Arabidopsis thaliana: one gene and its partners. The protein of the gene in region 1 purifies or fractionates together with the protein of each later gene. This does not show direct contact. Each region holds a gene or a part of one and is shown on either strand. Other genes may lie near its edges. The genes, in order: AT1G56190, MDAR6, MDAR1 and MDHAR.

Evidence for each region.
Region 2: the proteins of AT1G56190 (region 1) and MDAR6 fractionate together in Arabidopsis thaliana (co-fractionation; one large-scale study listed by BioGRID). This does not show direct contact.
Region 3: the proteins of AT1G56190 (region 1) and MDAR1 fractionate together in Arabidopsis thaliana (co-fractionation; one large-scale study listed by BioGRID). This does not show direct contact.
Region 4: the proteins of AT1G56190 (region 1) and MDHAR fractionate together in Arabidopsis thaliana (co-fractionation; one large-scale study listed by BioGRID). This does not show direct contact.

Annotation. Positions count from the first base shown.
Region 1 is NC_003070.9:21,026,411-21,031,229, forward strand, and holds AT1G56190 (Phosphoglycerate kinase family protein), read left to right. Parts: upstream 1-1,726; 5' UTR 1,727-1,992; coding exon 1,993-2,403; intron 2,404-2,483; coding exon 2,484-2,561; intron 2,562-2,644; coding exon 2,645-2,905; intron 2,906-3,154; coding exon 3,155-3,472; intron 3,473-3,594; coding exon 3,595-3,753; intron 3,754-3,834; coding exon 3,835-4,044; 3' UTR 4,045-4,274; downstream 4,275-4,819. Other genes in the region: AT1G56180 (ATP-dependent zinc metalloprotease), read right to left, coding at 107-239, 321-397, 515-591, 675-923, 1,011-1,070, 1,220-1,637; EMB1303 (embryo defective 1303), read left to right, coding at 4,442-4,499, 4,682-4,818.
Region 2 is NC_003070.9:23,728,262-23,734,504, forward strand, and holds MDAR6 (monodehydroascorbate reductase 6), read left to right. Parts: upstream 1-1,613; 5' UTR 1,614-1,833; coding exon 1,834-1,843; exon of another isoform or gene 1,844-1,933; coding exon 1,934-2,108; intron 2,109-2,185; coding exon 2,186-2,285; intron 2,286-2,377; coding exon 2,378-2,455; intron 2,456-2,654; coding exon 2,655-2,726; intron 2,727-2,876; coding exon 2,877-2,995; intron 2,996-3,109; coding exon 3,110-3,194; intron 3,195-3,315; coding exon 3,316-3,405; intron 3,406-3,565; coding exon 3,566-3,667; intron 3,668-3,779; coding exon 3,780-3,869; intron 3,870-4,000; coding exon 4,001-4,081; intron 4,082-4,211; coding exon 4,212-4,283; intron 4,284-4,366; coding exon 4,367-4,461; intron 4,462-4,553; coding exon 4,554-4,642; coding exon of another isoform or gene 4,643-4,656; exon of another isoform or gene 4,657-4,729; coding exon 4,730-4,792; intron 4,793-4,891; coding exon 4,892-4,932; intron 4,933-5,153; coding exon 5,154-5,273; 3' UTR 5,274-5,713; downstream 5,714-6,243. Other genes in the region: ROH1 (uncharacterized protein), read left to right, coding at 1-913. UniProt on the Arabidopsis thaliana protein: Catalyzes the conversion of monodehydroascorbate (MDA) to ascorbate, oxidizing NADH in the process.
Region 3 is NC_003074.8:19,600,682-19,606,305, forward strand, and holds MDAR1 (monodehydroascorbate reductase 1), read right to left. Parts: upstream 3,774-5,624; 5' UTR 3,686-3,773; coding exon 3,635-3,685; intron 3,314-3,634; coding exon 3,218-3,313; intron 3,058-3,217; coding exon 2,986-3,057; intron 2,859-2,985; coding exon 2,807-2,858; intron 2,702-2,806; coding exon 2,621-2,701; intron 2,460-2,620; coding exon 2,341-2,459; intron 2,250-2,340; coding exon 2,030-2,249; intron 1,951-2,029; coding exon 1,832-1,950; intron 1,641-1,831; coding exon 1,515-1,640; intron 1,421-1,514; coding exon 1,280-1,420; intron 1,120-1,279; coding exon 796-1,119; 3' UTR 532-795; downstream 1-531. UniProt on the Arabidopsis thaliana protein: Catalyzes the conversion of monodehydroascorbate to ascorbate, oxidizing NADH in the process.
Region 4 is NC_003074.8:3,055,850-3,060,910, reverse strand, and holds MDHAR (monodehydroascorbate reductase), read left to right. Parts: upstream 1-1,666; 5' UTR 1,667-1,807; coding exon 1,808-1,861; intron 1,862-2,351; coding exon 2,352-2,423; intron 2,424-2,703; coding exon 2,704-2,755; intron 2,756-2,841; coding exon 2,842-2,922; intron 2,923-3,009; coding exon 3,010-3,128; intron 3,129-3,213; coding exon 3,214-3,436; intron 3,437-3,522; coding exon 3,523-3,767; intron 3,768-3,852; coding exon 3,853-3,993; intron 3,994-4,071; coding exon 4,072-4,410; 3' UTR 4,411-4,536; downstream 4,537-5,061. Other genes in the region: AT3G09950 (uncharacterized protein), read left to right, coding at 279-557. UniProt on the Arabidopsis thaliana protein: Catalyzes the conversion of monodehydroascorbate to ascorbate, oxidizing NADH in the process. Required for producing sufficient ascorbate to maintain the interaction between Piriformospora indica and Arabidopsis in a mutualistic state.

The DNA of each region.
Region 1 (4,819 bases):
ACGCACAGATTCGCAATGCTTAACAATCTGTACACTTGTGCAAGAAAAGTGGAAGCACATATTATACTAGTCAAATCAGATATATATGAATTTCATTAGTCCTGACCTGAGCTACGGATAACGGTGGTTCCAGAAGGACTGAGATGCTCCTGAACAGATTTTCATCATTCTCTCCACCCTCAGCCTCACCATAAACTAGCGCTTCAGCTGCAATACCAGCAAATAGTACCATGCTATACCTAAGAGAAACTGAACCAGCATTAGGTTTGTGAATGAGAGAAAACTCAGAGGGAGAGAACAACACCTTGACTAATAATCACCTATCAAATGAGCTACCGCTAAGTCGTCCCTCAGCAATCTCACTCTCCATCTTTTGATCCCAGAATTGGGTTCCAGCCTAGAGAAACACATGATAATCCATTTATGTACTCGGTTCCATATGTAGCTAAAAGAACATAGAATCACAGCACTACAAAATAGAATAGTATAACACTAGAGTGAATCTAAATAATACCTGGCCTTGAACCCCCATTTGCATGGCAACAACCGGATCCAATATCACACCACGGATTGGGCAGCCCATGAGGTATGCTGCACGACAAATAAGCTGCAATCGTTAGCCACAAAACGAGAAAGAAATTTCATAAAAATACTAATGATCACGAATGTCTTACCAACAAGAAGATGACCAGCTTCGTGAACTACGATTCTACGCTTATGTGGAGGCCAGTAGCATGATACTTGGGCTAAGCAGGTACCACCAAGAAAAACGGAATCCAAATAAGCTAGACCCAAAATGACAGCAAGGTTTGGCCGCACATCAATCTCCTGTGAAAGAAGATAGGAGACTCCACCCAGCAAAGCAGCCAGAGCAATGCTAGAACCACCAGAAAGTCCCCACTTCTTCGGTGAAAGTTTAGTCACTAACCAATATAAACAGTAAAATAAGTTTCCATCGCCACACACTGAGTAATCAAAGATGACTGAAGAGAGAAATTTGAGCTACACACCTTCCAAGCCAGTTGCAGACTTCAGGACAGTAGGTGTTACCTCTCTTGTTCCTTCCAAAACTGCATCACAGTGATACAGAAGCAAGAAACTTATGAAACGATACAAATTAATCAGTTCAAATGCTCGCACACATAGCTAAACATTACTTTTGTACATCTATCTAAACAGAAGTTGATTTTGAAGGCGCAAAGAAGAGAAAACAGAGTACCAATACTGGTGAATTTGCCGAAGTTGGCCAAAAGACCTCTCTCCTTAAGAAACCTAAACGCACTTCCAACAAGTCTCATATCATCTGCATTCAAACACGCATCTAAAACTTGCCAATCCCTCTCCAATTCAAGAGCTCCCAAGCCGCTTAACTTAGCCGTGACAATAGATTCAACCGAATCACGCTGTTCATCATTTTCAATAGATTTGAGGAATCTAAGAGCCCCGGCGAGATCTTTTCTCTTCACAGCATCTTCGTACTCCCGCCATTCCCTGAGTGCGCTCGGCCTCCGCAACTCATGCTTCCGGACGCTACCAAAGACTAGAGACTGTACGCGTGGAACAAGGAAGCCAATTTGGCGAGAAAAAGAAGGCGAAAGAGATCTGAGACATGGAGGAGACGACGGAGATAAAGCCATTAGAGGTGCTTCTCGCCGGGATTTCCAAAATAAAATAAACGACGTTTATATTCGAAAGGACAGAAATTCATTGGGCCGAGTAAAGCCCATTTAGCTATTTAAATATTGCAAATGAGTTATTTAACTTCATTATATTTATTTTTAGAGTTGTCTTTTCCATATATGGAAGTAAACTTTTCGATCAAAAGACATGATCTTTGTGAATGTGGGCAACGATTGTAAGCAGAGGGAAGGCGAAGAATTATGATAACCTCTCATCAACGATAAGACAAAATCCATAAACTAGTAATATCATCCAATCCTCTCACTTCTTCCTTATTCCCTCACTTTCACTCTCACTATCTGTTGACTTCACATGGCTTCCACCGCCGCAACTGCAGCTCTTTCGATCATCAAATCCACCGGTGGCGCCGCCGTTACACGCTCCTCCCGCGCCTCCTTTGGACACATTCCCTCCACATCTGTCTCCGCACGTCGCCTTGGCTTCTCCGCCGTCGTTGACTCTCGTTTCTCGGTCCACGTGGCGTCCAAGGTCCACTCCGTGCGCGGAAAGGGCGCCAGGGGAGTGATTACGATGGCGAAGAAGAGTGTTGGAGATCTGAATTCTGTAGATTTGAAGGGGAAGAAGGTGTTTGTTAGAGCTGATCTCAATGTACCTCTCGATGACAACCAGAATATCACTGACGACACTAGAATCAGAGCCGCCATTCCCACCATCAAGTTTTTGATTGAGAATGGTGCTAAGGTCATCCTCTCCACTCATTTGGTATGGTTCACAGTTTACCCATCTCTCTAATCAACTCAAATCCACACAAAAGTCTTTACATTTTCATCTCTAATTTTCAGGGAAGGCCAAAGGGTGTCACTCCAAAGTTCAGCTTGGCTCCTCTTGTTCCCAGATTATCAGAGCTCCTTGGTATTGAGGTACTACCCTGATTTTCAACGGATCTGAATCTGTCATCTTGTTGTGGAAATCTCTTGAGGTTTTTGGGGTGTGAAATGTGCAGGTCGTGAAAGCTGATGATTGTATTGGTCCAGAAGTGGAAACCTTGGTGGCTTCCCTTCCTGAAGGTGGAGTTTTGCTTCTTGAGAACGTGAGGTTTTACAAGGAGGAAGAGAAGAACGAACCTGATTTTGCTAAGAAGCTTGCTTCTCTAGCTGACCTTTATGTCAACGATGCGTTCGGGACTGCTCACAGAGCCCATGCTTCAACAGAGGGAGTCACTAAGTTCTTGAAGCCATCAGTTGCTGGTTTCCTTTTGCAAAAGGTGACATTTTGATACAAGATTCTTTCTTAAATTGATTATTGAGGAATTTAGAAGCACCACAAGTGCCGCCACTATATCCTTGATCATGAAATAATTGATTGATTGCTTGTTCATCTTTGTCTTTCCATGTAAGAGGTCTAAACTCAAGGTTCAATAGGTTTCTCAACTGCAATTTGGAGGAGTCCATTGACTTGAATTGAGTTATGAGTTTGAATTGAATCACATTTGGTTATCTTATATATTTCGCAGGAGTTGGACTACCTTGTTGGTGCGGTTTCAAACCCAAAGAGACCATTTGCTGCCATTGTGGGAGGTTCCAAGGTCTCATCTAAGATTGGAGTTATCGAATCGCTTCTTGAGAAATGTGACATCCTTCTGCTTGGTGGTGGAATGATCTTTACATTCTACAAGGCGCAAGGTCTTTCCGTTGGCTCCTCCCTTGTTGAAGAAGACAAGCTTGAATTGGCTACAACACTCCTTGCCAAGGCTAAGGCCAGAGGAGTCTCTCTGTTGTTACCAACAGATGTTGTGATTGCTGACAAGTTCGCTCCTGATGCCAACAGCAAGGTTCGTCTCCAATAACTATTGCTAAAAGCTTGGCATTCTTGGTTGACAGAAAGATTGAAAAATGGTTTTGTTTTTTAAGACTGGATGTGTTGAGGGTACTGAGTGTAATGTGAATGTTGTAGATTGTGCCAGCATCAGCCATTCCTGATGGGTGGATGGGATTGGACATCGGTCCAGACTCGGTGAAAACATTCAACGAAGCTCTGGATACCACGCAGACAGTCATTTGGAATGGACCAATGGGAGTTTTCGAGTTTGAAAAGTTTGCAAAAGGAACTGAGGTGCATATAATTCTCTGACTCTTATATACTGTTAGTTGACTCTTTGTTGGAACTAATATGTAGCATGGTTGAATGGCGCAGGCGGTAGCGAATAAACTAGCAGAGCTAAGCAAAAAGGGAGTGACAACGATAATAGGAGGAGGAGACTCGGTGGCAGCAGTGGAGAAAGTGGGAGTAGCAGGAGTCATGAGTCACATCTCCACAGGTGGTGGTGCCAGTTTGGAGCTCTTGGAAGGCAAAGTGCTTCCCGGTGTCGTCGCTCTTGATGAAGCAACGCCAGTCACTGTTTAACAACATCTCTTTATTACACCTGAAGGGACCCCCCTAAATGAGTTTCTTCTTCTTATTCTGTTGTAAATCAAAGTCTTTGTTGTACCATCAAATCCATAGAGAGGAGGGACTCTTTTTGTCTCAAATAAAATCAAATACAGTGACATTCGTTATTTTGAGCAAAACATCAATCAACTGCTCGAAATCATTTTAACCTTGAGAATAGTTTCATCCTCAAAATAAATTTTCAAGAAAATACGAGGACTCGAAACGAAAAAGGATGTAAATATTCCCACGTGCCGTTTCATTATTGGCTGCAAGTTGCCAAAAGTATACATACGCGCAGGTGAAATGGATTTATCTATCTCTAAAGTTGTTCCTTCTTCTCTCCTTCGTCTCCCGTCAAGCTGCTTTAGCCATGGCTATGGCGGCGTCTATTATCCAATCTTCTCCGCTCTCCTTCAATAGCAACAACGGTACGCTTTCTTTCTCACTCTATTAGCTCGCCGTATATTTCCTTATGCTCTGGCTCTGGGTTACGTTTTTTTTTATCCCTAGGGATTTTAAAGATGAGGTATCAAAATTTGGTGTTGATTGAAACTTTTTACCGATCATTTTTTGGACCAAGAGTGTAAACCTAGCTTTTTGTTTGATATAGCAAAGCCACGGATTCATAGTTCAGGATCGCTCGGCGGAATCAAAAGCCAAAATAGAGTCTCTCCATTGAGTGCGGTTGGATTAAGCTCAGGCCTTGGAAGTAGAAGGAAATCTCTTTTGATATGTCACTCAGCCATTG
Region 2 (6,243 bases), 2.7 Mb from region 1:
GTTAGTTCCTGAAATGTTAGACCGGTCGATTAAAGCGCTTGACATTTGTACCGCCGTTGTTAACGGTATCGATTCCGTTAGACATTACCAGCGTTTAGCTGAGATTGCTGTGACGGCTTTGGAGCAACGTCCGTTAGGTGACGGTAACGTGAGGAGAGCTAAACGCGCGTTGGCGAATCTCGTCGTCGCGTTGAGTCTCGAGGATAAAGAGAATGTTAGCGGCGGAGGTGGTGGCGGCGGCGGAGGGAATAAGACGACGGAGAGATCGTGGTCGTTTGGTCGTCGAAGCGGTGGATCATCGGCGGCGAGTAAAGGAGGAGCAACGATTGGTCAGCTCAAATCGTCGTCGTGGGCGGTTGGGAGAAATTGGTCGGCGGCGAAGCAGATCCACGCAATGACAGCGAATCTTACGCCGCCACGTGGTAACGAAGCGGCGGGATTGCCTCAACCAATGTTTATAATGAGTACGGTGATGGTTTTCGTAATGTGGGTGCTAACGGCGGCGGTTCCGTGTCAGGAGAGATCAGGATTAGCGAATCATTTACCAGTGCCGCCGAAACATTTGAATTGGGCTCAGAGTTTGATCGGAATCCATGAGAAAATCGGAGATGAGTGGAAGAAGAAAGAGAAGAAAGGATCTGCTGGATTGATGGAGGAGATGACGAGGATGGAGAAGCTAGGTCACTCGTTGATGGAATTCGCAGATGGATTTCATTATCCGGCGGAGAAAGATGCTGCTGAATCTGCGGCGGTGCAAGTGGCGGAGATGGCGGAGATATGCAGGAGAATGGAGGAGGAGCTTGTGCCGTTACAGCAACAGATCAGAGAAGTTTTTCATAGGATCGTGAGGAGTCGTGCGGAGATTCTCGAGGTGTTGGAGCAAGCCGGGAAAGTTTCGGCGCCAGTTGTGTAAAAGTTTTGAATTATTGGGAATCAATTTCGAAGTTTTGTAATTCTTTGGGGGCTAATAGGATATTTTATTTTCTTGGTTTCGTCTATTGTTGTTTTTCTATTTATGGTTGGGCTTTTAGAACTCTGGACAGGCCCATGTCATATGTTTTCCCTTCTCCTTATATTTTTCATTTTTCATTTTGTTAAATTAATGCATAATATCCAAAAACAATTTAAATTTTTGAAGGAACCCTTTAGTTACGGCTCCGAAGCTTTCACAAGTGAGAATGTGAGATCAAAGAAGGCAAATGGAGGATTTTAAAAGTTAAAATCATCTTTTATCTGCAAAAGTTGACAATTTTTTTGTATCAAATCTAAATCATCAAACTCTCTTAAACTACAAGAGCATAACAACCTCTATGTAATCCATGAAATAATCTGCTTGAAGGACATAACATAAATCATTATGGCTAGAGTGACTAACTTCAATCAAATCCTCTTAACTCTAGCTCCCTTACAATGGTATCGTAAAACATTATGCATTAGGGATTGTTGTCCTAGGAAAATAAAATAAAAATCCCCACAGACCAACTACCATTTTAACTTAAAAATAAGCTTCGTCCGCGACGAATTGTTTTCCATCCTAAAAATAGAATGGTGTAATCTGCTAATGGTTTAGTTCCATTAACTTGCAAGTTCTATTGAAAGCCTAAATGTCAATAAAGATATTAAAATTCGGAGTCAAAAGACAAATGAATCAAAAGCAACAAGACAAGTCAGCTCCATTCTTCACTACCCATCTTTTACAATAAATCATCTCTCTTTTCACAAATTTCAAACTACTCTCATTGCCCTTTAGCTTTGTTATAGAGCCAACACTACAGAGAGACTCACACACTTGTTTCAATAATTAAATCTGAATTTGGCTCTTCTTATAAACTAATGTCTGCAGGTCTTCTTATCTCTCTCACTCACCACCATCTTCTTCCTCGATTGTCAAAACCCTAGATCGAAATCTTATCTCTCTAATCTGTTGTTACAGTTCGTAGAGTCATGGCGTTAGCATCAACCACGTTGCCGACGAAGTCCGGATTATCTCTTTGGTGTCCGTCTTCTCCGTCTCTCGCTCGCCGATTTCCCGCTCGTTTTTCTCCGATCGGTTCTAGAATCGCTTCCAGAAGCCTCGTCACTGCTTCGTTCGCTAACGAGAATCGCGAGTTCGTATATATAATTCTTCCAATTTTGATTCTGGCGTTGATGAATTTCTATGCGATTGATTGTGTGATTGTGTTAGGTTTGTGATTGTTGGTGGAGGAAATGCTGCTGGTTATGCTGCTAGAACTTTTGTGGAAAATGGAATGGCTGATGGTCGGCTATGCATTGTGACCAAAGAGGTGATTCAAATCGATCCCTTAGTGTTTTCTTCATCAGTAACACTATTGGTTTTACTTTGTTTGATTGTTGGATTTGTGGTTGTTATTGTTAGGCTTACGCACCTTATGAGAGACCGGCTTTGACAAAAGCTTACTTGTTCCCACCAGAGAAGAAGCCAGCTCGTTTACCAGTAAGCTTTGCCAACTTTAATGTTTTGATTCGATCAATTTGAGTGGTTCTTTTAGTGCTATTGCTCTTAATTGGCTACATGAACATTATGGAATGAGTACCGGTAGATTGTTTACAGTGTTACGATTGTTACTGATATGAAGATTTGTATGATTTAGTTTTGTGATCTCTGTTTATATTGAGGGTGGTCGTATATGCAGGGATTTCATACTTGCGTTGGAGGTGGTGGAGAAAGGCAAACACCAGATTGGTATAAGGAGAAAGGAATTGAGGTAATTCATCTTCTGATACATAGTTTTGTTTTCTAAAATATATGAATGTAAGTGAAGTGTCTTTGGTTTGATTAACTGTACAGCTTGGAATGTACGTCGGTGAATTTGTGGTCTTCTCTTGTGTCTTACTAATGCATTTTGTTTGGACAGGTAATATATGAAGATCCAGTGGCTGGAGCTGATTTTGAAAAGCAAACACTCACCACAGACGCAGGGAAGCAGTTAAAATATGGATCTCTAATTATCGCTACAGGGTGTACAGCCTCAAGGTGAGTGAAAGTCGCATTTTTTTTGCAATGATTGATAAACAACATCAGAGAACCTAGGCCTTTTCAACCATGTATACTGATATTATGAATATTTGCTCTGGATTTTTATTGTAGGTTCCCAGATAAAATCGGTGGGCACTTGCCAGGGGTTCACTATATTCGGGAGGTTGCAGATGCTGATTCACTGATAGCATCTCTGGTAAGCTAAGGGCATTTTTACCAGTTACCAGTTTTGTCATCTTAATGCAATGTTGTAATATGCGTCATCAGAAAAATCCAAATTTCCTGGCTACAAAATAACCTTCCAATATGTGATACAGGGAAAGGCAAAGAAAATTGTCATTGTTGGTGGTGGCTACATCGGCATGGAGGTTGCTGCTGCAGCTGTTGCGTGGAATCTAGATACAACGGTTATTATCCCTTTCACTTGAATTTTTAAATTGTGCTAGAAATGAAGAATACTTCTAATCATTCGATGAGTTAAACAAATTCCTAGAAACGTTCAGATAAATTGTGGAACAGATGTACTAACTTACAGTTGCTTTTGGGCTTTCCCATGTGGAACAATAGATTGTATTCCCTGAAGATCAGCTTTTGCAAAGATTGTTCACTCCATCGCTTGCTCAGAAATATGAAGAACTGTACCGTCAAAATGGTGTTAAGTTTGTCAAGGTAAGATATCAGCACACGATCAACACCTTATACTGAAGCCTTTGCTTTCCTGCAAACCTAAGAATTTCAGAAACACAGTGTGCAAACTTGAATTTCTCTTTCTGTTGAACAGGGCGCTTCCATAAATAACTTGGAAGCAGGTTCGGATGGGCGTGTATCAGCTGTTAAGCTTGCTGATGGGTCTACAATTGAGGCAGACACGGTATAGTTGTAGCTCAGCTTCACTTTTTTCTTTCTCAAATGATGCAAATTCAACAACTTTGATCAAATGAAAACTGTGAAGGGTCAATGTAATACTGACTTTTGTACGACCTGTGTATCCTTACTTTACAGGTTGTAATTGGAATTGGAGCTAAGCCTGCTATTGGCCCCTTTGAAACTTTGGCCATGAACAAATCAATTGGAGGAATTCAGGTATTATTATTACAAAACATCCGGATTTATTTTCCAAGATAATCGGTTTTCAGAGTTAGAACTTCACAAGAAACTACATCAGTATGTTGATACAATTAAAAGTTTGATAAGAGCTCATCTTCAACCACAGGTCGATGGCTTGTTCAGGACAAGTACCCCTGGAATTTTTGCTATTGGAGATGTCGCAGCCTTCCCTTTGAAGGTACTTTGCTGCTAGATAATATATGTTAAGCCATCAATTATCTCGTGAAGTGCAAACTCATCATCTTATTGTCTGATGACCAGATATATGATAGGATGACTCGAGTTGAACATGTTGATCACGCCCGCCGCTCTGCACAACACTGTGTGAAATCACTACTCACGGCACACACTGACACGTAAGCTTCTTCCCTGGAAAGATCTGTAGACTTTGCCTGTATCCCTTAACGGATATTCACCTATTAGTTCTTGTCTTGCTCAATATTTGCAGGTACGATTATCTTCCATATTTCTACTCAAGAGTATTCGAGTATGAAGGAAGCCCAAGAAAAGTGTGGTGGCAGTTTTTCGGAGATAATGGTAAATCTATTTGACCTAAATATGACGCCATCCAATTACTCAAACAATATTTCCACTGTAGCTAAACCACTGATTCATACTGGCCAGTGGGAGAAACAGTGGAGGTTGGGAACTTTGACCCGAAAATCGCTACCTTCTGGATTGAATCTGGTAAATAATTCCTTCAGCCTTTTCTCACTTCAGTTAACCTTGCACAAATACACAGCTTAGCAAATTAACTAACTTTGATGAGTAATTATCGTAACACAGGCAGGTTGAAAGGTGTTCTAGTAGAAAGCGGATCGCCTGAGGTAAGAGTCTTTCTTAGCATCTCCCTCGTTAACATTCTGAATTAGCCAATCTTTAGAGCATCATGCTTCTTTAGATCTGCGAGACTAAAATTAGAATATTTTGGAACGGTCATTGAAACTTGACAATAGCAATTACATCAGCATGGGTTTTGTTTTCATGTAAATATGTTAACTATATGGATTTTAATTGCTTCCATTGTTATGTATATCTCTTGAAACAGGAGTTCCAGCTTCTACCAAAGCTAGCAAGAAGCCAACCACTTGTCGATAAGGCTAAACTCGCAAGCGCATCTTCAGTCGAAGAAGCTCTCGAGATTGCTCAAGCCGCTCTACAGAGTTAGAGAAGGAAACTTCATGGAGTTTTTTTAATAGCTTTTGGGTTCAGAGAAATCAACATCTTTTATTCCCGGTGAGAGTTATTCATCTTTCCATTGGAAAAATGATCTATAGAGAGCACTGTTGTCAATAATCTCCTCGAATAATTTATAACCTCTTTTTGGGATAATCATATTTTGCTCATTAGAGAGCTTTGTTTCTAATAAAATCTATGTTAGTCACTGAGATAGATAAAGATCGTTTTCTCATGATCTATGGGTTGTTTCGTGGATCATTAAAATATTTATTTATTTAGATTTCTTTTATCGACTGTAAACCATAAACGAAATTTGTATAAACAATAATGAAGACTTTGTTATAATTCACGCAAGGATTTGTTTTGCGGCACGTAATAGAGTCTTGTGGGATTGATTGCGACATGTAAAAAGGTTTTTGTAGCCTAAACGCGTTTCATACGCCATAGAAATTTATTTACTGCCTATGAGTTCTACAATTGAGAAAGTGTCAAAGTGGTTATGAATCTATGATAGGTTGGGCTTTTATGATTGGTTATGAATGTTGCAAAATCGTATAAATTTGCGGAATGGTGGGAATAACAAACTAAAAAAATCGTGATTCTGCAGAACCTTGTGGTTGGTAAATATCTATGATAGCCAAGGTTCATCATTGATAGGGGAAATCATTCGGCCAAGATGTCAAAACTGTTATAAACTCTTCTCTAACTCGATCTATATTTTAATATGACATCATTCTTGGATTAACACAAGAGACCATTGTTTTGCAAAAACAACACCCTCGGTTTTTAATGGGTGAAATATTGCAAAATGCAAACAAACGTGTAATGTTGGTAAAACTAAAAAAAACAATTGATGCCAAATCCAATAACAGAAAAAGGCATTGAATGACTCTTTCACTAATAACAAATTTGAAATTGGTATATGACTAATAAAAAAAAAGTTAGAAACAATTAGTAAT
Region 3 (5,624 bases), on another chromosome or scaffold:
TTTCAGAGAACCACAAAGTTATACTATTTAAAACTAAACCAAAAGAATTACTAACAAAATCGAACAAAGAAAATAACTTAAATGCAGTTCAATTTTTGCTAAGTTTTTGTTCAATCTTTAACCAACAAAAAGAGAAAATCCAAAAAGCGAATCTGACGCTCATAGTATTTCATCTTTTCATTCACATTAATCAATATTTGCTTTCACAATCCCACATTATAAATAACATTATTCCTAACTAATATATTTAGAATGAGTAGATTTAACTGAATTCCACTCTACGACTGGAAATAAATTTGATTATCACTAGCAAAAGGGACTAATATCATGTTAAATTTATGAATTTCTAACTCAAAATTTTCAAGTTTTCTTCGGTTTGTGTATATATCAAAACTAATTCTAAGAAAACCTAGTCGAGCCGAGGACATGGAACAATGAGAGATGTCCAATTAAAGATCGAATTGACATTTCAAGGGTCGTCCAATGCCCATTAGAGTCTACGAATTACTATTTCAAGGCCCATTTGCTTTCATATTGTAAATTACTCCCTTCATTTGAGATTACAGTAAATGTGGTTTTGGAGTTGTTCACATTAAGAAACCAAGACAGATACTGAAACACAGAAAACCAAACACATGATCTAAAATGTGAATGTGGTTCAGGGTTTCCTCTGCCGTAGACTCTTCTCATGGAGTTTAGAGAGACAATACAAACACACAACTTATTATAGCTAAACAAGTTTTTATTTTAACATAGAAGAGAAAACGTGAGTTTGTTTTGGTGGTTGTGTTTCACTCAGATCTTAGCTGCGAAGGAAATTCCTTGTTTCACGAGCTCGTCGAGACTCTCTGCAGAAGGTCGAGCTTTGGCGACTTTAGCCAAGGCTTTGTTCTCATCACCACTACCTCCCTCCATGAATGCTCCAACCACTTTACCACCTTGAACCCAATATGCTCCAAATCTTGGTTTTGGGTTTGATGGATTGCTGTCTCCAAATAACACAGAGTCTCCTACGTTGTCTCCGTAGAACTGCCATGAGAGATCAAAGGAGCGAGAGTAGAAGAATGGAAGATAGTCGTATTCCTCCACCGCTGCGCCTCCCTCAGCCGCTTTGATCGCCTGCCACAATGTATCACATATATAAACGCTTCATCAGATATATACAACTGTATGTTAATCTATAAGATTTAGGCCTCAAGAGTTTGCGTTGCATTTTTTATGGTATGGATTAATAGGGTTTTGGTGTAGCGATATCAGCCATATTGTAAGCATTATTTACCTTAACAGCTTGCTCTGCTGATTTGCGGGAATGGTCAACATGCTCGACCCTTCTCACGTCTCCGTACATTTTCAAAGGGAAAGTAGCAACGTCACCAACAGCGTAAACATCTGGAACACTTGTTTTGAAGAATGCATCGGTCTGTGTGAAACAGTTAAGCAGTCAATTTAAAAGATCCAAATCAGAATGGTACGGGATAAGAAGAAGAAGAGACGCACAGGCAGCAGATAAATACCTTAATTCCACCTTTATCTTCCTCGACCTGTCCCTTGAATAAGGATGTCAATGGTTTTGCACCAACCCCAACTATCACAATGTCGGCTTCCAATGTCCTCCCATCCTTGAGTTGTACTTCCTTCACCTGGAGGATTATATAATACAAGTAAGACATTTGCAACGAGACCATTTGGAAAAGCTAATTAATCGAGTTCGTCAAACGAAACCAAACCTAAACATAACATTGTAATTTGGTTTTAGACTTTAGTTTCTATAAAATCAAACCAAAACTTAAATTGGATTGCCCACTCTATTAGCTAATGTTTCTTTGATTACCTCTCCATTTGGCTGAGCTGTGAACCCAGATGCCACTGTTCCTTTAATGATCTTCACTCCCTTGTTTGTATAGTAAGTCTCATAGAAAGCAGCAATATCGGCGGTGAAAAGCCTAGGCACTGCGTCAACATTTTGTTTTCATTACGTGTAACAATGTCATATATTACATGAATAGCAAAAGGATACTAGTCAACTTACTGCACCAAGGTTCAGGGAAAACCATAGTGACATCTAAATTGTTGATCCTTAAAACTGCACTAAGCTCAAGACCAATGTAACCTCCGCCAACAACTACAGCCTTTCCACCTTTCTTAGCTTTAATTGCTTCAACCAATTTGTCGGCATCATCAATCTCTCTCAGATAGAGGATATTCTTAGAGTCTGCACCTTTTACTCCAAAATCAGTCAATCTGAGAACCTGCAAAGGAAGGTAAAGAGTTACTTTCTTCTTGTAATAGAATTCATAAGAAGCATTCTGATGTGAGAAATGCAAGTATATCAGTCTTTACAGTAGAACCAGTTGCAATTATGAGCGTCTGATACTTGAAGACATCCCCAGTTGCACTGACAAGACTCTTGGCAGAGAGATCAGCTTTCACTATTTCTGTGCTTAGTATCAACTCAATTCCTACAAACACAATGGATAACAAAAAAATCATAGCACGATTTAGTTCCAATAACATAAGTAATTAAGCTTGTATAGAGAGTAATGTAATGTTATAATAGATCAGTGGGACTACACAGATGAGCAGGGCATTGATATTGGTGATGTTGCAGACAGTTCATTACCTTTCTGCTTGTAGGATTCAGGAAGCAGTTTTTCTCCACCACTACCAACACAGCAATGGAAACCTGGAAGTCTAGCAGCCCCTGCAACAAAAAAAGATTATCATAAAAAGCATAAACCAAAGCCAAGTTTCAGCAAATCAAAATTAAACGTTGTAGTTAGCAAAGTAAAGTAGAAAATTGTCTTACCTTCAGGAAACAAATACCCCTTGCTAAGTGCAGGGCGTTCATATGGAGCCACCTAAGCCACCATATAGAGTAAATAAGGTGTGAGGATTAGAGAAGACAAGTCCACATAAGGATCATCATATCATAGGTTACAAGACACACTGCATAATCACAGTTTTCCAAATCGAGAGGAAGCTTACCGCCTCTTTCGAGATAACAGCCAATTCTCCTGGTTGAACCCCTTGATTGGCAAACTCCTTAGCTGCGTATCCCTACACACAAAAATGGAGAAAAGGATACAACAAAGGTTAAGAGTTGAATTTGCTTCTGTATTTAGTTATTTCTTTGGAATTTTCTTCATTAACATCTGTGACTATACGATTAATCTGAGCTAGTATAAACTAAAGAGGATCCTGATGATACTATGCTTACTATTAACCATCTGCAAGTGATTTTGCAGAGATACACTTTTCTCACACTTAACAACAACAAAAGAACTAGAACTGAATCGGAAGTTTTTAAGATGCTCTGTGCAGAGGAAACCAGATTACATCCATGTTTTACGTCGAAAAAACAATCAATCAACATACGATTGTTTGATTCAAAATCAAGTTTCGATTGTAAATTCATCTCAACGATACTAGAAACTAGAAGCAGAGCCGCCGATCTGACGTTTAAATCTATGAATCACAATCTATAATCATCGTAATCGCTATCTGATTAACAATAACAAACTCCAAGCCAAAAAAACTACGAGAATTGTGGCATTTCGCAACACAAATCGAATCAAGCTCTTCGAAAATCGAAAGCAATGGCTGAAAAAACTTAAGGAGGAAGGAAGATACTCACGGCAGAGACGCCGCCGCCGAGGATGATGTACTTAAAGCTCTTCTCCGCCATTTTATCCGATCGTGTGAAAGCGTTTTGTTATCTTGTCGCTGAAGTTGGTTTGTTAGAGAAGCAAAGAAAGAGCAAAAAGGCTAATATGAGCTGAGTGACTCTAATTGGCTAAAACTTAACCAAGACTTGGCCGTTGATTGGAGGATGTAGATACAAAGCTTACACGTGGCAATATTGTGACCGTTGAATTTATCCAACCGTCGTGGTTCATGCTATATGTGGAAAGTAAAAAGAATTAAGGACGGAAATAAAGGACTGATTGATTCTTAAGTCTTTTTTAATTAACCCGAAAAATAGTTGGTGGAAAAGTCACAAATGTGCCACGTTATTGGATAAGTTGTGGAAAAGTCCACAAATGATGGGTTTTAGATTATTGGGCTTCTTTTCCTGACCTCTTAAGGCCCAAAATAACAAAATTCAAGAAACATGAAGCTTAGTCCTTCGACCCACATGATAACCCATTTGACCATCACATGATTAACAATTCGACTAAAACAACCATAAATTTTGATTTATCAGCAATTATATTTGTAAATAGGTTTATTACTACAATCTGTACGTAATAAGTATCAATCTTTGAAGGAACTAAAATTTACACATTCCCATCCAAGACTATAGGCAGTCACAATAACCCATTTGGATGAATGCTCATTTTTATTTTTAATTGTTCAAATTTCAAAATACTGTGTATAGCTAAAAAATCGAATTAATAAGTGAAGGAGAAAAAATTGGTGGAGTGGATTAGATGCATACAATGACAAAAAAGCCAAGCAAGCCTTTTATGGGGGTGTGGCCTGTCGACACAAACATGTGAAACCTATACTTGTTGCCTTATTCTCTAGCTTGTTCTCTTTCTTTTTATTTTTTTCTTTTACCAAATCTAATTTGATTACCCTATATATCTCATCTTCCTCGGATTCTCATTTCTCAGATCTTAGTTCTTATTGATATTGTTTTGTTTAATAGTAGTTATCAAGAATATACATAACTCGAATCATTTGTCGTTGTGCACCGTTGTTTCTTGTTCGCCGTCCACGCAATAATTATAAACATCCATACCTAAATTTTATATATACACATCATGAAATATTGCGACAAAGACATTTAATCTAGTGGCTCATAGTATTAGTGCAGTCATTGCATCATAACTTGGTATAAATGTTTGAGATACAAAAATAAGTATATATATATATATATAATAGAGTTTAATCCGCGGTACACCGCGAAAATAATTTATTTTTTAAATTAATATATATAAAAGTATGGGTACTTTTTGTATTTTGTACACTATTAATGAAAATTCACATTTTAAAAAATAAAATTGAATGATGGTTCAAATTGATCTTAAACGAAAAAATCTGGGTTCCATCAATCGTTTTTCTTGAAAAGATGCAAAATATTTTTAAAAATCGAATAAAATAATTAGCAGGACCATTGATATATTTAAATATGCGCATGCATATGTTTGTATAATAAAATCTTTTGATGTTGATGGTTGGTTTAAGTTAAATAAGAAATCAGAAGCGGACGTAACACATCTAATTTTTGTGTTAGTTTAGTGTTTACAATATATTTAATGGGGATTAAAAGCATGAGGGAAGAGATTAAAGGCGCAGAAAGAGGAATCCTAGGCTCAAAGGGTTCTCAAAGACCTATCAAGTCTCTATTATTTCCTAACACCACGTTCCAACTGTATGATTTAGGCTTTTTTGCCAGATTCAAAAGTACTTTGTTGTTATTAATCTCGATCATGTATCATTAAGTTATGTTTCTTGATCTTATGGTTACGGTTGTATATTATTTGATTTTTCCTATGCATTTTCCATTAGACTCTATTTGATTTTTCCTATGCATCTTCTATTAGATTCTAGTTCATTCTTTCTTATTTTTTTAATTCATTTGTCTTGGGTGGCTAATGAAGCAATAATGGTTTTTAGTT
Region 4 (5,061 bases), on another chromosome or scaffold:
TCTTTTCTTTTGATAAAAGCTCTTCCCCTTTGTGGTATTGTTCTTAATTACGATAAATATCTTCAATGATTAAAACCCAATTCATTCCCCTTGTTGCTTCTTTAATCGAACTCATGAGGTGGCTTATATAAATGGTATAATTAATGTGGATTAAAATTGTACCCTTTAATTCATGTAATGTGTCATTTCCGTTTCTTCACGTAATCTCACCGTAATCTCTATATATAAGCACACAAGCAACACAATCGATCATAAACCAAAAAAAACGAGAGAGAGAGATGGGGAAGGGGGGTTGGCTTCTTAACTTTCTGAACCATGCCAAAAATCAAGAAAGTGTGGAGAATCTTGACAAAAACGGTGCCGTAAAGGCCCCAAGCAGTGGGTTTAAGATGCCGTTGCATTACCCAAGATACACAAAGGAGGATTATGAAGAGATGGAAGAGTGGAGATTGGATTTGCTTCTCTCGGAATACGGACTTCTTGCCTTCCATGACAATACTCTCCATGAGAAGCGAGCTTTTGCAATCGACACTTTTATATGGCCTCATCACCCATAATTTCATCTCCTTCATTTATCTTGTTTATATTTCTTAAGAGTAACGGAGATTGTAGAGATACAACATTGGAAGAGATGACAAAAACCGGGATATCAATCTACCGGATATATATGTCACAAAAAGATTTTAGTATATTTTTAGTAATTTGATTTCTACTATATTCTTTAGTTTTCATTAGATCTCTTTATGTTATGTTATCTATATAAGTTTGGCTTTGGATTTTGCATATATTAACCTTTCCGTTCAATAAAATATAGTTTTACCGCTTCTTATGGTATCAAAGCCTTCATCCAAAACTTACTCAAATGAGATTGACTCTCATGTTAAAACAGAGAAAAACAGAGAAAAAACAAAAGATCATTAAAGTCACTATATAAACATCATGATTCATCTCCATCTCCACCCTTAATTTCTTTACTAGTCCGTTCGTTCTCGCCACTATTGTTGTCCGTGATTGTACTTCTTCATAAGCATCACTGAGGAAGCAAATTCTAAAACAATAGTATCTTTTAACAATCATAAAGTAAAACAGTTTTTTTTTTTTTGTTCTTATATATATACTACTTATTACACATTTAAACTTTGGTTTTGAACAGTGAAAATGTTGCTTGCAATTTTTTTAACTTTGTAGAAATCAGGCAAGTTCTTAAGTTGACAAATGACATATACTAGTAATTTTCACGAACGTTATCCCACTAAAGTAGTCATACCCAAAACAAAATTGTTTAAATAAAAGTAACTTAATTATATCATTGAGATTCGAGTGAATAATGCCAATGAAATTTAATATTCATTATCTGACACTCTGAAACTATGATTAACTACATAATTATTTAATTTAACGTTTGTACCAGCTAATAGTATACACGTTTTTATGACAAACATTTTTGAATTTTTTGAGTTAAAAAATAATAATGGTTTTCGTCGTAATAGGAGAGGACAGACAATTCCAACGTGATATGTACGTTTATCATGTTACTTAGTCAGCAGATCATTTCTTCGGATTATATAATAGCTATTTAGAAACATTAAAGGTGTGGATTATATTATAGTCAAGTCTTTCCAATATGAATATTATATCATCCACCAATACATAATTATTGTCAAATACAAGTTGAGTCAGATTAGTCAAATACAGGCAACCAAGACTCGAGATCCTCATCGTCTCTCCACTTTATATAAACCCCAAGTCAGTACTTCTCATAATATACCAAAAACGAAACTGAGAAAGAAGTTTTATTTATTAATTAATGGCGGAAGAGAAAAGCTACAAGTACGTGATCATTGGAGGTGGTGTAGCCGGCGTAAGTAAATGCATTTTCAATTTTGAACTTTTCTTTTGACAACAACATATCTTTTATCAAGTTTAAATTCGATTGTAACACAACAACAACAACAACAATAACACTAATACAAACCAGTAAATTACATGTTTTGCCCAACATTTTTATCAACTCGCATTGTTCAGTTTTGTAGATGATGAGACTTTTTTTGTTGACTCTGTTTTTTTTTTGTTTTTTTTTTTGGCTTAAGAATCATTGTTCAGTTTGTGTTCATTCTTTGCTTACAAATCATCGCTTATTTCGCATCCGTGCTTTGCTTACGAATTCCTTTCTCTAACTCTCTGTTATTTTACTCTCACTTTTACATGTAAATCCCTTTATGCTTATTAAGTTATTATACACAAGAAATTGTTTATGATTTTCTTCTATTAAATGTTATTCATGTAACGAATACGCATCTCTCTGAATTGACTTTTTTTTTTTTTTTTTTTTGGGCATTTCGGAATCACAGGGTTACGCGGCGAGAGAGTTTAGTAATCAGGGCCTGAAGCCTGGTGAACTCGCAATCATTTCCAAGGAACCAGTACGTTTTTTCACTCTTATGACTTATGAGCGTTTGCATGTTACAATTTGGTGTTTTGCTTTTCCAAATAATAATACCACTACTTTTTTTGTTTGCAAACGTCAATTGAAAACACAAATACAAGCGCAAACTCTGGTTGCATTTGCATTTGCGTCTCAAGTTTATGAAAACTATTTTTAGAAAGTCGAAATAATTAAAGCCATCCTTAATATTTGATTGTCTAGTCTGAAAATTGATGTTGAAGTCCATAACCATGTTTTTTTTGTGTGTGTGTCAATAGGTGCCTCCTTTTGAGCGTCCTGAACTAACCAAGGTATATATTGACCTCGAAGGTAAACCTTTTAACTCTAAAACATCTCTGTCAATGGATATATTTTAATTGCTATCGGATTTTGGTTAACTTTGATCATCATTACAGTCAATCCGACCCTTGCAAATATCTATGTTTGTGCTGGAACTGGAGAAGCGAAGCAGTACCCTAACTGGTACAAAGAGAAAGGTAATGTTTTGTTTATGTCTTCTCCGAGAAATCTCTGTGATTTCACTTGCAATATATTTGGTGATCTGAGATATTCAAATTTTACAGGGATTGATCTAATTGTGGGCACAGAGATAGTCAAAGCAGATCTTGCTTCAAAGACACTTGTTAGTGATGATGGCAAAATTTACAAGTACCAAACTTTGCTAATTGCAACCGGTTCTACTGTGAGTAAAATACTTATGATCTCTTCCTCTCTCTTTCTGTTCTTTGTTCTTAGTTCATCTCGAGAAACTCTAATATTTTTTGCAGAACATAAGATTGTCAGAAATTGGCGTCCAAGAAGCAGATGTTAAGAATATATTCTACCTAAGAGAAATCGAGGATAGTGATGAGCTTGCCTTGGCTATGGAACTATATGTGCAAAGGGGAAAGGCCGTCATCATTGGCGGCGGTTTCTTAGGGCTTGAGATAAGTTCTGCTCTAAGGGCTAATAATCATGAAGTGACCATGGTTTTTCCAGAACCTTGGCTTGGTAAGTTGATACTTAACAAAAAACATTTTAGCTAAATAATTACACTGTATTCGTAACAGATTTTCCTCTGTTTTATCGTTGTATAGTACACCGGTTTTTCACCGCTGAGATAGCTTCATTCTATGAGAGTTACTATGCCAACAAGGGAATCAAAATCATCAAGGGAACTGTAGCAACTGGATTTAGCACCAACTCAGATGGAGAGGTCACTGAGGTGAAACTAGAGGATGGAAGAACCCTAGAAGCTAACATAGTTGTCGCTGGTGTCGGTGCTAGACCGGCCACCTCACTCTTCAAAGGCCAACTTGAAGAGGAGAAGGGTGGAATAAAGGTTTATGATTTACCCTACCGGCGAAAAACAGAGCTCTTGTCAATTACCATAATTAGTGATTAATGATTATTCGTTTTGATTGTAGACTGATGGGTTCTTCAAAACAAGTGTGCCTGATGTATACGCACTTGGAGATGTAGCCACATTCCCAATGAAAATGTATGGCGGGACGAGGCGTGTTGAACACGCCGACAATGCTCGCAAATCTGCTGCACAAGCAGTCAAAGTACGAGCATTTACTAGCTTGATTCTATAGTCGAATATACCAAACTCTTCTATATATACTAATGATGGTGTTTTGCAGGCAATCAAAGCGGGTGAAGAAGGGAAAACGATCCCAGATTACGATTATCTTCCCTATTTCTACTCTCGATTTTTCAAACTATCGTGGGAATTCTATGGGGAAAACGTTGGAGAATCTGTACTGTTTGGAGATAATGACCCGAAATCTCCAAAGCCAAAGTTTGGGACGTATTGGGTTAAAGATGGGAAAGTAGTAGGAGTGTTCCTAGAAGGAGGTACTCAAGAGGAACACAAGGCTATTGCTAAAGTGGCACGAGCACAACCTTCCGTTGAGAGTCTTGACGTGTTATCCGAGGAAGGCCTTTCTTTCGCCACCAAGTTCTATAGCACCTCTCTTTGAGACATTGGGTCTTGTTTAGTCACATTGATGTAATAATCTCCTTTGTCTTTGATTTCATATCGAGCCCCTATTGTATTTCGAAAAATAAATTAAATATAATAATGCATTTTGTTTGGATTATCAAAACATTGGATTTTAAGTTCTTTCATTCGTCATGATAGACATTCAGTTTTGGATGCACATGAACACATGGCATTGGTCATGCTTTTGATGACACTTTGAGTCAGACCAAAATTGTCACATTTTAAAAAAAAAGTCAAAACACAACTGAAACTTTAAATTTTTTGAGAATCAACTATCAATTACACACATAATTCAACGTCAATTTAATTCATAAGTAATATAACACATGTACTACCAAATCACACCCAATATTCGCTAACTTTTTTTTTTAACAACAGAATCGTGCTTCTCACGAGATGCCTTCTCGAATTATCCCATGTCACGGAAGTTGATATCATCTCAATCTTCGAAACCCTAATCTCCTGCTTTATCAAAACCCAGGAAATGCTTATCTCTCTCCAAGCCCCACCAATCTCAAACCCTCGGCAAGATCTCCACTTTCAACCCTTCCTCTGCCCACACCCTAGCCACGTAGATATTCGTCACTGTCGGGTAAAAAATCGCCAACGCTTCGATCGTCTCCTCTGT